Linked DNA regions of Diceros bicornis minor. The protein of the gene in region 2 purifies or fractionates together with the protein of the main gene of each other region. This does not show direct contact. Links are inferred from orthologs where the notes say so. Each region holds a gene or a part of one and is shown on either strand. Other genes may lie near its edges.

What was found. The genes of interacting proteins can lie anywhere in the genome.
Region 1: the proteins of JOSD2 (region 2) and AHCYL1 purify together in Homo sapiens (affinity purification with mass spectrometry; 4 studies listed by BioGRID and IntAct, counting the BioPlex papers as one, with this or other methods). This does not show direct contact. The link is inferred for Diceros bicornis minor from reciprocal best matches to the Homo sapiens genes JOSD2 and AHCYL1.

Annotation. Positions count from the first base shown.
Region 1 is NC_080743.1:43,022,507-43,030,517, forward strand, and holds the start of AHCYL1 (S-adenosylhomocysteine hydrolase-like protein 1), read left to right. Parts: upstream 1-5,008; 5' UTR 5,009-5,059; coding exon 5,060-5,179; intron 5,180-8,011. UniProt on the Homo sapiens protein: Multifaceted cellular regulator which coordinates several essential cellular functions including regulation of epithelial HCO3(-) and fluid secretion, mRNA processing and DNA replication.
Region 2 is NC_080773.1:25,679,504-25,686,510, reverse strand, and holds the start of JOSD2 (josephin-2), read left to right. Parts: upstream 1-4,001; 5' UTR 4,002-4,364; intron 4,365-4,957; 5' UTR 4,958-4,974; coding exon 4,975-5,120; intron 5,121-6,677; coding exon 6,678-6,803; intron 6,804-7,007. Other genes in the region: ASPDH (aspartate dehydrogenase domain-containing protein), read left to right, coding at 1,147-1,201, 2,042-2,240, 2,497-2,581, 2,673-2,822, 2,904-3,124, 3,194-3,452. UniProt on the Homo sapiens protein: Cleaves 'Lys-63'-linked poly-ubiquitin chains, and with lesser efficiency 'Lys-48'-linked poly-ubiquitin chains (in vitro). May act as a deubiquitinating enzyme.

The DNA of each region.
Region 1 (8,011 bases), on a different chromosome or scaffold from region 2:
GAGGGAACAGAAGCCCAGAAAGACCCAGGGTTCCAGCAGCCAAGTTGGTAGCAGAGTCAAGACTTGAGGCCACACATCTCCGTCTGCCCAGATGCCCGGCTTCCCTCCACACCACACAGCCTCCCCATGAGTCAGCCATCACGAGTTCCGGGCAGTGGACCTCACACCCCCTTACAGCAGAAAGGTGCCGTCCCCCTGGCCCTGCTTACAGCCAGGACAATTGGCCCCACTGCTAACATTTTTGCTCCTTCTCTCTGGCAGGACCTAGTGCTGTGACCCACCCTTGTCTGTTTTGCTTGAAAGCCATTCCCACTCTGACTCCTACCCCGACACACTCTGTTTATACTGCATTAAGTTGGAAACAACTCATGCCCAACAATAGGAAAATGGGTAAGCAAACTCCTATGGCAATAGGATGGAACCCTTGGGAAACAGTGACAAGGACAAGTACGTAAACAATGTCCACATGTGGTACACGTGCTTTCAAAACACTATGATTTGATCAAACTGGAACACAAAATGACATATACCTACTGATCACAGGTATGTAAAAGTGAGTTTCTGCAAATTGATAAGAACCTGAAGTGAACTTAAAGAGATTTTTATCTTCACGGGTTTTTCTTTCCTATAAAGATTATGTTCAAAACAATAATAAACAGTAAAATGCATAATAAATAGGATCATAATAAGCACAGGAGGAGGCAGAGAAGGAGGAGGAGTCTTTCTAGGCCCTGGGGGACGGCCTATCTTCTCAAAAGGGCTGGAATTGAATACAGGGGAGGGAAGGAGGCTGGAAGTGGGGGAATGAAGGAGCTCAGTGGGAAGCAGGAGCCAGGCATGCCTGGGGAGCCAGCACCAGAGGCGCAGAGGTGCAGCTGGGAGCCTTCCCCTTGGGGAGTCCCTCAGGGACAGCAGGGCAGACCAGCAATCTGGACTCGTGCTCCAAGGGCACATTTCACATCAATTACAATGTCAATGGTGCCTTCCAGAGTTGTGCAACATGGCGGTTCTGGGACAGAAAGATAATGGGAGGGGGTCTGCTGGACACAGAGCCACTGAGCTGTTCACCTGTTTCCATACTTCTATTGTCACCCAAGATCTCCTGCAATTTTTCTGCACCATTCATTTCGGAGGACTAAAGTGGGGCCTGGCCTACAGGAGAGCACAGCCTTGCTGCAGGGTGCTGGGGGTACCAGACTGGCAGGGAGCAGATGGTGTGAAAGGCTCCAACTTAGGCTCCCCTGGACATAGGGCAGCACACTCCACAGACATATCAACCTCAACATGTCTTAAGCTGACTCCTTATCTCAGCAGCCCCTCCACCCAGACCTGCCTCTCCTCCCGTGTTCCCCATCTCGGTACATGTCACCACCATCCAGCCACATCTGGCTCCAGCTTCAGCTCTCACTCTGCTCTACTTTGTACCCTGTGTCCCACTCACACTGAAATGTTTACAGTTCCCATAACATGCCAAGTTCTCTCATTGCCCTGCCAGGCTATGCCTTCAGCCTGGAATCCCTTCCTTACCTCGTCCAGCTGCTTAACTGTCAAGAGTCAGGTAGAGCAGCATCTTCCTCTATGAAGCCTTTCCTGCTCATCCCCATCCACCATCCCACCCACCTTACCCTCCACCATCTGTCCCCACGTAGACATCAGTACTTCATTCCTCTCTGTTGTCCCAACATCCAACACTGCTCCTTCTTCAGCATTCAATGTATATTTTATGAATAAAAAAAAAAATGACTGAATTTGGAGGGTAAATTTTAGGGTGGATTTGATTAATAAGATCAAGCCCATGTGTGGTACCCTTTCTAGAGCAGGGTCCCCTCTGGTCTCTAAGCCCTTCGGAGACTTCCCCTGACCACACACAATAGGTGCACCTGTCCTTGGGTCCCCGCTCTTCTCAAACACTGGCCCCTGGTGGCTTCTCTCATCTGTGTGTGGATTGTGCTGTTCAGGGGAGTGAGCCCCGACTCATCCACCTGACTAAGCTCAGAGGCACTGCGTCTGGTAGGTGGGTGGGTGGGCTGAAGACAGGTCATTTCTTGGCATCCATGAGAGGCAACACCTTAGCTGGTCCATGTGCAGCCATCTAGGAGTGGTGGGGGCAGCGTGCAATGGTTCTCACTGATGTTATGTCATCACACTTTCTGGCTGAGTGAGCTCTTTGATCTCCAGTCACACACAATGGGAGCAAGGGCAGCCACTCATGTCCTCTGCAGCAAGCTGGTTTCCAGGAATGCCCTTGGCTGTGGCCTGACATGAACCACGTAGGCCTGCTGCCTTTCCACCAGGGCAGGGAGCGCTGCCCCTCCATCCTTCCAGTCTAAGCACCCCGACTCCCCTAGGTCAGCCTCCCCAAACCCACCTTGGGCCAGGCACTCACGTAAGTGGAGTCACACCTTCTGGTCTCCTTCTTGGCTCAAACTGTGAAGGTACTGCTTCCTCTAGGCCTGGCCCTGTCTTCACCACCCCCAACAGCAACAGCCAATCCTGTGAACGTGGTGATAGGGAAAACCTGTTACTTTGGTTCAGGAGTAAAAGAGAGGCTGAACTTCAGTCTCCAGGAATCTCATAATCTGAATACTAACATGCACAGCATGTCCTGAGAGACAAAGCTCTCAGACAATGGAAGTTTTAAAAATCAAATCCAAAAGACAAACACACCCTGCTTCCTTATTTTTAAATAGGCTATCCTAAGTCACATGTTTTCCTATTCAAGGAATGTGGAGTTTTCACCTCTGTTCCAACTCGTTCTGCCTCTGTTCTCTGAGCAGGCAGCTCTGATCCCTGGACTCTGACAATAGTTCAGGCAAACCCATAGGATGAAAGCTACCTCAGGCCATATGTCCAAAGAGTCCTGGGTGGGCAGGTATAGCTCTGGGCCCCGGCTGGGAGATGAGGAGAAAGGTGCCAGTCTGGCACCCTTACAGATGAATCCAGCATTCTGGTTCCCCATCTCTCTGTCCCTTATGCTACAGGAATACCCCTGAGAGGGAAGTTGAGGGGCTTGAAAGAGTGGGCAGATGAGAGAATCCTGACAGTTAAAGACCAGGATCTGCAGAAGTGTGCATCCTACCAGGCACTTCCACAGCCTGCATCAAACAGATGGCCTCATGGGGCTGGAACATGGGCTTCTCTGTCTAAGACTTCTGGAGCCCCACAGGCAAGTATTTCACATACTTCCCAACTTTGAACATAAACCAGTGGGGAAAATATCACTTCAAACTACAACTTCTTTCTTGAAAGAGTTGACCCTGTCAGAGACCTGGTAGGTTTCTGGATATGAAAAGGTGGCCTGGGGAGAAATTTAGGAAAAGGGCAGTGGGAAGACTTGAATAGTCAGCACCGTAGAGAAAAATCTGGCTTCCCAGAGTTACTCAAGGAGGGGAGGATGAGGTGGAGGGATGGGAAGGGAATAAGAAGAGGAAGCTAGATTAGATGGCAATGGGCTAGGGATCTTTGTGGGGTGGTGCGGCCAGTGAGAAATCCTGGGTGACAAGATAGCCAAAATAACTTTTCAGAACATTTTAGAAATATGACTTTAAATTGTTTGCTGTGTGATGTAATCTCTCCCCTGTGGCCCACAAACCTTCATTAAAAGTTCTGCTACATGTTACGGCATTATTTTTGTGGTTGTTTTGGAATAGGGGTGGGGGTTAAAAGGAGAAGGGGCTATGTTCCATATTTGAATTGACAGCAGGAACTAAAGAAACAGCTACAAAACCAGAATAGCGAACAAAACTTCAGATGAGGCAGAAAATTAGAGCCAGAGGTAACCATGAAAATCTAAGTCCCCCCAGTAATTCACAGAAATCCTGGGGAGGGCATTGGACTTTCCACAGGAAATGGGAGTTGGAGCCAACGTCGTTCGAATCTCAAAGGACAAGCTACCTCAGCTGACATTAGGTTGCAAATACGGTTTGAGTCTTCGGGTGGACAAAGCCTTGCAAAACATAAAACGTATCACACTCATCTTTACTATCCAGGGTCTAGCACAAGAACAGTACGTAGTACGGCCCAGTAACAGCATGTACATGGTCCATGAACGCCCTGGTTGCCGCACTGGGAGCTGGCAGAGTCTCGTGCTTAAGGGGCGGGGTGCATGGAGCAGGAAAGCCATTCAGGCTCCTCCACCCCCGCCCCTCATGCTCTCCACCCTCTGACCCATTATCCCTATGCTCATGGCCGACAACATCAGCTCTGCGGCCTGAAGGTCTTGTAAACAGGCAAGGCCCAGCGGAGACGGTGGTGAAGGAGGTCACAAAGGGTCGCGCAGAAACCACACAGCTTGGAATCTGTTCTGCCCACCCTTAAGTCAAAGAGGCAAACACTGCCCCTTGGGAAGGGGCTTCTGGTCCAAAGGGCCTGGGGTGGGGGCAGTGAGTGGGCTGTCTTGGGCCCCGAATGTCACCTAGGACTGGCTGTAGGATGTGTCGTGTGGGACTCTGGTCTTTGCTCCCAAGCATCCCCCTCACGCTCTTCCGAGATCTTGCCCGAAAGCCCGCAGTCCCAAACGCCCCCCCCCCGAATTACGCGGCACCCTTGCATGAACCACGCGCCTCTCACAGGGCTGATGGCGCCACCTGGCGGCGCAAAGGGTCAGGCTCACGCTGGGAGCTTCAGCACCAGCGAGCTGGGAGGAAGAAGGGGTGGCTTCGGCGGCCCAGTCCAGCGTGGTGACGTCATGACAGAGCGCCGTTTCTCCCCGCCTCTTCCTCTTCCCCGGAGCTGCCAGTACTTGACGTGGCGTCACCTTCCTCTACCCTTACTTTGCGTGCGTGTTTGCGTGCGGCGGAGGTGGTGGCGCGGACCGGTCAGAGCTCCGCGCTGCTGCTTCTGGTGCTCTCGTCGCCGCCGTTGCTGTTTGGCTGTCTTGGACTGCGGTGCGAACGCGGCACGGGTCACAACTCCTCAGCCCCGGACGCAGCTCGGCGCGGGGCCCGGCGGGAGGGTGGGCGAGCGCGTGTCGGAGGGAGCCGCGCGGGCGGGCGAGCGGGCGCCCGAGAGGGAAAGAGGCGGGGGCGGCGGGTCAGCCGCGGGCCCGGCCGGCCGGGGGATGTCGATGCCTGACGCGATGCCGCTGCCCGGGGTCGGGGAGGAGCTGAAGCAGGCCAAGGAGATCGAGGACGCCGAGAAGTACTCCTTCATGGCCACCGTCACCAAGGCGCCCAAGAAGGTGCGGGGGCTCTGAGTGGCGGCGGAGGCGCAGGCTGGGGCCTCGCGGAAGGGGCGCGAGCGAGCCCGGGGCTCCAGCTAGTTCGGGACTTCGGGGCAAGGTTCGAGGTGCCCCGGGACGGCCGAGGTGGTGTGAGGGGCGGGTGAGCGGCCCCAGACCTATCCCGAGCTGTAAAGGCCGCCCCTGACCTCACTTTCCTTTGTCCCTCGGCCCTCGGGATCTTTTCGAAACCCGGCAGGGCTGGGCCTTAAATTTGCGGCTGACTTTTCCTGGATGAAAGGTCTCCAAGACGGGAGTGGGAGGGGGTGAACCAATTCAGTGGATCTCTGTGACCAGCCCCATGGGATGGAGGTGTTCAGAAAATCTCCCCTCGGGCGAGTGTGTAAATCGGGTAGAGCTGCTTCGGGCAAATCTTTGGAAGCGGTGGCCGGTTTATCCAACAACTGCGTGCTAGCTTGGAGCAGGAGGGAAAAAATGCGTGGAGCTGGGTCTTTTATGCAGGTGAAAGCAATGAGGACAACATGCGATTCAAAAGAAAACTGATTTTCACCTTTTACGGTCGTCCAGTTGCTTCGACATATGTGAGAAATTAACCTTTGGAGGTTGGTGACAGCAGACATTGTCATGGATACAGGTTGATCGTAGTCATGTGCATAGATCACTTAGGCATCCCCTGAGAAAGGAGCTTGGGTGGGTTGGAGGGGTGGGTGGTAAGGAACGATTGCTCATTCTTTACTGCACTTACTGAGGCAGAACAAGTTTAGTCTGTTGTGCTGGGGGTTGAGCTCAAAGGACGCCCTTCTAATTCTCTTGTGGAAAAATAAATGGCAGCCTTTGGAGGTTTTAGTCTAACTAGTTCTCAGAGTGGTGGAATTGGGATTTGTAGTGCTTTCTGAGCATTTGTTGCCAACCACATCTTGACTTGTGACATACCTGGCATCCAGTTAACAATAGACCAGAGAACCTTTGCAGAGACGTGACCTTTCTGAAACCAGTGAGAACCTGGATAAATATTTCCCTCCTATATAAAGACAGAGTGTTTCAAGGCTGTCTCTCTCTGCCTGCAGTGTTTGATGGGAGGCAGTGCTTCTATAAGCTGAACAAAGCAGGGTTTGCAGGAGTAGTTACAGTCTTGGAGGCTCCTGCACCTGAGCTCGTTATGCTGTCATAAGTGGGAGAGATGACTTTTTTTTTTTGAAAATTAATCTACTACTCCAGAAATCAAGTGCAGAATTGAAAAGACAGGTCACCATCGTGTGCTTTAGCTCTGTTTTGCCACAAAATTAAGCTCTTACCAATAGAATGCCTAAAAAAAGGTTATAGAAGATCCCTTGGTTCTAAGAAGTCTGATTAACCTTATTTTTAGTGCTATCAGTTCAGCTGACTGCTTTGTTGGGGCAGTAACCCTTTGTAACCTGCATTATTTGGAGATACAGTCTCAGCCTTTATAAGCAGAAGGCTTAAGGGTAGTACCTGTGATGAGTTAGGGGGAAGAATGGGAAAGCCCTGGTACCCTAATCCCCTGAACTCATCCTCTCCCCATTAGCCTGTCCTCTTTTGTCTAGTTGCTTCAAGAATTAGGTGTTTTTATTCTTACTTGCCTCTATTTTAGTAAGGCTTTATTCTTGGAAGTGCCACTATTAGTAAGACAAAGTTTGTATTGTAGATTGTAAACTCAGTAAAGGCAGGGACTCGTGTTCACCATTGTATCCACTCTGCCTAACTCTGTACCTGGCATACAGTAGGTAGTCAAATATTAATTGCCCACCTGGCTAACTAGTAATTTGTCTGTATGACTGCCTACCAGGAATAAGTATCCCTTTTCCTCTTTTCTTCCCAGGAGGAATATTGCTAATGTGTACGATTGTCAGGCCAAGTGGGAATGATTTTAGAGACTCATATCCCATTAGCTGAAAGAAGCAGTTTTTGCCAGGAATGTGGGAAGACCCTGTTGTAAGTTTCCATTTGCTGGTAAATGTACCGCCGGGTTTCTTATTAATCTGCTCCTTCTGAGCTTTATTGTTTAGCATTTACGCAGCACTTTGTATTAAACTGCTTTATGATGACTAATTACCCTTTCCCTGGTGATGATAAAAGGCATTTATTTAGTTAATGAGTTGGTTGAGGACTAGTCAAGGTCACGTAGCAATTCCTAGGTGATCTGTTTTTTCAGAACTTCAGCTGAATTGGACATTGTGTTTCAAGTCACTTTTGTACCTCTGCCATGTACTGATACTGTGAGAAAGCATGAAAAAAGTAAGAGGAAAAATGTAGCTTGGCCTGTACTGAATGGTGTGAGAAAAAGGCCTCTTTAAATGGTGCCGTCCTTCACCTGTGAGGATTCCAGTGTGGTTCTAGACCAAGTAATCCTTGGATCATTCCAAGCCCTAATGCCCTTCAGGGAATGAGGACATTTCTGGTGCCAGTCAGGGTGACTTGGATAGTCCTTAGATCAGATTCCATTGTAACTGGTGAAATTTTATTCACTATGTTTGGGGAAGCGTGATGTCCATCAATTAGAAGCAGAGATGTTGGGAATCTTCAACTATAACCATAACTTATTCAGTTTTGTATACCCCAGGGTCTACCACAGTGCTATGTAGGTAATAGGATTTGTTGGTTTGATTCAAGGCTTGATCTGGTTGTCAAGAAGCCATCTAAATGGGTACCACCTTAAGCAAGTGAGCTTCTATGCCTCAGTTTCCTCATCTGCCAAGTAAGTGCTTTTTGTTTGGAATAGGCGCCTGGCATATTGGGAGCTAAGATAGCAAAAGTGGTTTTTAAAAAGAAGTCTATTAGTATACTTAAACTCTCTCTTTTTAATGAGCATTT
Region 2 (7,007 bases):
CCTGTTTCAGTGCGATCCTGGTTGCCATGGCAACGCTGCAGCGGGTACCAGGTGGTGGCTGGGGGCAGGGAGCCAGCACTGCCGCAGCCTCCGCCATTTCCCATGCCAGGCACCCGCGAGGCGCAGCGGCGGGGGGCTCATTTGGGGGGCGCTCGGGGCCTCCCCAGGCCCTGCAGGCTTCTCCCAGCCGAAGGGAGGTGGGGAGAGGGGAGGGATGGGTGTGAGAGCGAGAATGCAACATGGGGGTGTCTGGGCGCATCGTGGTGGGGGAGGGAGGATGAAAGGTGGGAAGTCAAGGTGAACTGAGGGATGATCAGGTGGAGGGAGGGAGGGAGGTTCTGGAGAAGGGCTGCGGAGACGGCCCGCTGAGGCTAGGATGAGCCCGACTCCCGCTCCTGCTGCCTTGTGGAGAGACGGGGCACGAACAGGCCAGGCCTCCCTCGGAGCTCGGGGTAGGAAGGAGATGCAGGCCTGGCCTGGCTGGGAACAGGATGGCAGCCAGCCCGGAGGACATGGGGGCGGGGGCTGGAAAGCCAGAGACCCAGGGAGAAGCCGAGAGACGGCAACAGGGCAAGAGCAAGATCAGAGACAGGAACAGAGAAGGGAGAAAACACGGAGGAGGAATGTTGACAAGAAACACAGGTGCCGAGGCACAGGGGGAGCGGCCACCAGGGCGGGGACTGGAAACCCAGGGGCAAGGGACAGACTGAGAACCCAGAGTCCCGGCCACCATCACCTCTCCCTCACTCCCAACCGTCTCTACCCCCACCCCAAGCAGGATGCAGTTTCCATGGCAACCTGGCCAGCCAGAAAGGGGGGCGGGGGACTGCAGAGGAAATTTTCCACATCAGCAGGAAGGGAGGAGGGCGTGATGCAGAGAAGGACCAGGTCGGGTACAGTGGGGGCCACGTGGGGCCCCTGGAACCCCGAATCATCGTGCCCACTGCCCCCAGGATGCTCACCCCGCCCCCAGGCAGCAAACCTGCACCCCCACTTCCCGGCACTACAGGGAGGGGGGAAAGTTCTGGACAGGCTCAAGGGTCAAACGTCCAAAGATCAGCCGCTGTCCAGGCCTCGAGGGGTGGGGGGGGGGGAAGCAGGGAGCAGCCGACAGAGCTCGGACAGCAGACCAGCAGACTCAAGGGCATGGCCCTCGACAGGGTCCCGCGGAGGGTGGGGGTGGTGGGCTACGGCCGCCTCGGTGAGTCCCTGACTGTCTGGGGCCTCTTCCCCAGGCCCCATCATGAAGCCCCCAAAAGCCCTTGTGCCCTCCACAAACACACTTTTCATCTGTCTTTATCTGTGCCCTGTCTCCCTGTCTGCCTGAGCACCTTCCACTTTCCACCGCGGGGCTCCATCCCCTTCTGGGTCCCTGTCCCCCTCCCTCTGGGTCTCTGTCCCCCCCCCCGGGTCTCTGTGCCCTCTCTCTGGTCCCTGTCCCCCTCTCTCTGGGTCCCTGTCCCCTCTCTCTGGTCCCTGTCCCCCTCTCTCTGGGTCCCCGTCCCCCTCTCCCTGGGTCTCTGTCCCCTCTCTCTGGGTCCCTGTCCCCCTCCCTCTGGGTCTCTGTCCCCCCCTGGTCTCTGTCCCCTCTCTCTGGTCCATGTCCCCCTCCCTCTGGGTCTCTGTCCCCCTCCCTCTGGGTCCCTGTCCCCCTCTCTCTGGGTCCCTGTACCCCTCTCTCTGGGTCTCTGTCCCCTCTCTCTGGTCCCCGTCCCCCTCTCTCTGGGTCCCCATCCCCGTCTCTCTGGGTCTCTGTCCCCCTCTCCCTGGGTCTCTGTCCCCCTCTCCCTGGATCTCTGTCCCCCTCTCCCTGGGTCTCTGTCCCCCTCTCTCTGGGTCTCTGTCCCCTCTCTCTGGGTCTCTGTCCCCCTCTCTCTGGGTCTCTGTCCCCCTCTCTCTCTGGGTCTCTGTCCCCCTCTCTCTGGGTCTCTGTTCCCTCTCTCTGGTCTCTGTGCCCCTCTCTCTGGGTCTCTGTGCCCCTCTCTCTGGGTCCCTGTGCCCCTCTCTCTGGGTCCCTGTGCCCCCCTCTCTGGGTCTCTGTCCCCTCTCTCTGGGTCTCTGTCCCCTCTCTCTGAGTCTCTTTTCCTCTCCCCAGGACAGTCCCTTGTCTCCCACCTGCTGACTCAGGGACCGGAAGTGGGCCTAGAACTTGTTTTTGTCTGGAATCGTGACCCAGCACGAATGACAGGGAGCGTGCCCGCTTCCCTGCAGCTCCAGCACCTCGCTGCCCTTGGGGAGAGGTCAGTGACCTCACCATGAAAGAGTGGGGTTGCCTGAAGCTCCTGTTCTCGCCTCCCTTGGGTGCTGTGTGATTTCAGGCGAGTCCCTTACCCTCTCTGGGCCTTGGTTCACCCAAACGTGAAATGGGACAGGCCCATCCACCCTGTTTCCCCTCCTGGGCCAGGAGGAAGAGTGCCAGGTCTCTACAGACTGAGGGAACCTGGGAGGGGAGGCCTAATATGCTCCAAGGCCCTCCCCCATCTCTCCCTCTCCCAGGCACCCTGACCTTGTGGTGGAAGTGGCCCATCCCAAAATAATCCAGGAATCTGGGGCACAAATCCTGCGCTATGCCAATCTCTTGGTGAGCCCTGCCCCTTCCGCCTTGGCCCCAACCCACCCTACAGTGGGATCGGTCCCCTGACCTCAGCCCCTCCCCACTTCATCCGCCCCAGGTGGGGTCCCCCTCAGCCCTGGCTGACCCGGCCACGGAGCAGCAGCTCCTGGAGGCCTCGCGCCGCTGGGACCACGCTGTGTTTGTGGCCCGGGGGGCCCTGTGGGGCACGGAGGACATCACCAGATTGGACGCAGCAGGGGGCCTCCAGGTGAGGGCCCAGTGGGCTCCCCGGGAACCGGAAGGGGCCTGCAGAGACCCCAGACCCCCTGACCCCAGCTGTCACTTCCAGAGCCTCCGTGTCACCATGGCCACGCACCCCGACGGCTTCCGGCTCGAGGGACCCCTGGCGGCAGCGCGCAGCACCGGGCCTCGCACGCTGCTCTACGAAGGCCCTGTCCGCGGGCTCTGCCCCTTTGCCCCCCGCAACTCCAACACCATGGCGGCCGCCGCCCTGGCCGCCCCCAGCCTGGGCTTCGACGGCGTCATCGGGGTGCTGGTGGCCGATCTCAGGTGAGCTAAGCCGAGCGGGGGCTGGGGCTGGGGCCGGGCCGGCCAAACTGACCACTCTGCTTGCCCCAGCCTCACGGACATGCATGTGGTGGACGTGGAGCTGCGCGGACCCCCGGGCCCCACAGGCCGAAGCTTTGCTGTGCACACCCACAGGGAGAACCCCGCCGAGCCGGGCGCTGTCACGGGCTCTGCCACTGTCACCGCCTTCTGGCGCAGCCTCCTGGGTGCGGCCAGGCCCCTCCCCGGTGCCAGCGGCGCCCTCCCCGTGCCTGGGCTCCGGTGCTCGGCGGCTCTGATTCTGTCTCTGTTAATTGATCTTTATTTCTGAGTCTCCTTAACCTTCTACTCCACTACTTTGAATCTTCATCTCTCTCTCTCTCTCTGTCCAAGTCTCCTCTCTCTGAGTCTCTGTGTCCCCCTCACTCTGGGACCCTAGCTTCTCTGCGTGTGTCTCTGTCCCCCTCTGGGTCTCAGTCCCTCTCTCCAGGGCTTCCTCCACCCGCACCTGCTCTGTCCCTTCCTCCAGGTATCTGTGTCTCCTCCTCTCTCTGCCTCAGCCTTTCATTCCCCGTATCCCCCCGCAGGCTGCTGCCAGCTCCCCTCCAGGCCGGGGATCCGTCTCTGCTGAGAAGCCGCCTCCTTCCCGAGAGGACCTCCTCGCCTCATTTACCTCCCCATCACCGTCCCGCTGCTGCCCTGGCCTCTGTTTCCCTGGATCTCCCTCCCATCCCAGTAAATATTGGAGGCTCTTCTCCCAGCACGGTTTGGTGTCTGGTCCCTATCTGCCTTTCTGTGACGTCACGCTTCATCCTCACACTAGGCATGACGCTATCGTAGGGGGCGGGTACACATGGGAGCAACACTCCTGGAAACTATCGCGAGAACCTACTACATTTCCCAGAACCCTCTGAGCAGCAGGCGGCGTGGTAGTGCGCGAAGGGATGGGCCTCTGTACCGCAGAGTTCCGGGATTCACCGCAGGGGCCGACGGAAGTTGTAGTTCCGCGCTCTTGGGGCAAGAGCGGACTTCCGCGTTACGCTGCCCAGACGATCCGAGCAGAGCGAAAACTCTTGTGGGGGGGGCCGGGAGTCGTAGTCCAGCACGCGGGGGCCGCCGGGAGCTGTAGTCCGTCCCGTCTGCCCAGTCAGAGTGGTGCTGCCAGGCCCGCACTCGGAACTCAGAGCCGCCGGCCAGGGGGATGCGGAAGCCCCTTGTTCGGGGGAGCAGAGAGGCAGGCGGGGTGAGGGGCATTGCCAGGCAACGGGCGAGCGCGGCGGTTGGGGTACAGGCCGGGGAAAGAGCTCTGTTACTTGGTGTCCGGGGAGGGGGCCCTGTTGCCAGGTGACAGGAAGAGAGAATCCTGTTGTTTAGTGACAGGGGAGGGGAGTCTTTTGTTGCTAGGCGACCAGAAGAGACCCTGTTACCTAGAGACAGGGGAGGAGTCTCCCTCTATTGCTAAGTAACCAGAGAAGAGACTTGTTACCTAGTTGGGGGGGGGTGGTCTCTGTTGCTAGGTAACCAGAGAGGGAGCCTGTTACCTAGGGACAGGGGAGGAGGGGTGTCTCCGTTGCTAGGTGACCACCATAGGGACCCTTTCACTTAGGGATGCAGCGGGGATGGTCCTCTGTTGCTAGGTGAGCCAAAGAGAGAGCCTTTTCCTGGGAGTAGAGGATGGAGGTACCCTGTCGCCAGGAAAGGACCCAGGGAGAAGGGTCAGGGGTGCAGTGGCCTCTCAGGCTGCCCCCACCCCAATGGCAGTGCCCCCAGGGCCTGCTGGCAGGTTGGGCCTCCAGATCCCGGGCCCCCGAATACCTTCTCCCCACGCCCCCTAAGCAGGAGCTGAGGACGGCATGTCCCAGGCCCCAGGAGCACAGCCGAGCCCACCCTCCGTGTACCACGAACGGCAGCGCCTGGAGTTGTGTGCCATCCACGCCCTCAACAACGTTCTGCAGCAGCAGCTCTTTACCCAGGAGGCTGCCGACGAGATCTGCAAGAGGTGACCATCACCCACCCTGACCCCTGGAGAAGCGGGGCTCACAGAGGCCAAGCCACCCACCTGGGTCTCATAGCAAGGCAGAGGCAGAGCCCGGGGGCTTTCTGCTGGCCCAATCACCCACCTGGGCTGGACCTGGGGACTCAGAGATGGAGCTGTAGCCTCCGCACCTATCTGTCCCCACGCCGCAGCCCCAGCTCACGCCCCACCCTCTCTTATCTGGGCCCTCCTTGTCCCCACCTCCTCTCCAGCCTCCCAGCTTCCAGTTTTCTCCTCCAGTCCACACAGGGACCCAGCGCTTACCTTGCCCCTCCCCTGCTCACAGCCCTCCTGTGGCTCCCCCGCACCCCTAGGAGATGTCCCAAGCCCCATAGCCTGATAGGCAAGGCCCTGCATGCTCTGGTCCCCGCCTCCCTCTGCAGCTTCATATCCCGCCGCTCCCCTCAAACCAAATTCCTCTCCAGTCCCTGAATGAGCCCCACTATGATGCCTCTGGGCCTTTGCACGGGCCATTCTTTCTGTCTGGCACGGCTTCCTCCTCTTGGCAGCCTGGAACGTTTCTCCTCTCTATTCAAGATGTCAAACATCACTTTGTTATCTCTCCGCCTCATCCCCGCCTCTGTCCCCACAGCCCCAGCCCCAGCTCAGGCCCCATCAACTCCTGGGCCCTCCCCTTGGCCTCCAGTCTCTCCCCTCCAGTCAGTCCCCCAATGACCTACACCTAGAGATGACCTGTCTCCGCCTCTCTTGCTCACAGCCCTCCCGTGGCCCCTCAGAATCCTCAGGCATCCCAACCCCTCAGACTGATTACTATAGAACTTATTCATCTCCTGTCATTCAAAACAGGGATCTATCAACTCTTTCATGCCAAGGCCACGCTGGAGACCCAGAAATCAGTCTACTATGAGCCCTGCCTTGAGGGAGGCCAGGGAAACAGATACACAGAAAAATAATACACAAACTTGCCCCTCTCCGACCCCTCCCCACCCTGCCCACCAAGAACCCAGACAGAGAACAAAGGTGCCCTTGTTCAGAAGAGGCAGGGCCCAGAGAGACGAGTGGTGACAGGGTGGGCCTCCTGGGCTCGGGAACCGACAGCTGGAGGAAGGGCCGGGAGGCAGGAGCATAGGAGATGTGGTTGGGGACAGGTGGCTGGGAAGGGGTGGGGTGGGACGGAGGCCAGCAGGGACCAGACCAGGTGGGGCCTCGAAGGTCAGGCTGAGGGGCTGGGACTCTATCCTGAGGTGATGGGCAGGGCTGGGAGCAGGGGAGGGGCGGATGAGCACTGGGTGTAGGAGGAGCCCCCAGGCCCTGAGGGAGGTGGACTGGAGGGGGAGACTGGAGGCTGGTGAGGGTGCAGGTGGAGGACAGGCCTGAGCAGGGAGAAGTGGTTGGAGGACAGGGCAGAGAGAGTCGGGGGCACGAGGAATCGTGGGGGCTGAAGAGAGGGAAGAGTCCAAAGGTCGGGTGACTCACAGACCCTGGGGCTCTCCTGCTCTGTGGGGACTGTGAGGCCTTTCCAGGGGCCCCCAACTCAGCCTCCGACCACTTCCCAACCAGGTTGGCCCCAGACTCCCGGCTGAACCCCCATCGCAGCCTCCTGGGCACCGGCAACTATGATGTCAACGTGATCATGGCCGCCCTGCAGGGGCTGGGCCTGGCCGCCGTGTGGTGGGACAGAAGGAGGTGGGACTCAAGGCGCTGTGTCACGTGTCTGAGCCTGGCACAGGGGGTGCTGTGGGATGGTAGTCAGTATGGGCCGAAGTGGGAAAGGGGATGAGTGGAGAGAAGGAGGAAGGAAGAGGTGGGTGGATGGAAGGTTTGTGTGGAAGGATGGTGGATGGCTGGTGGACTGATGAGTTGGGAGATGGCAGAAGGATGAGTGGGATG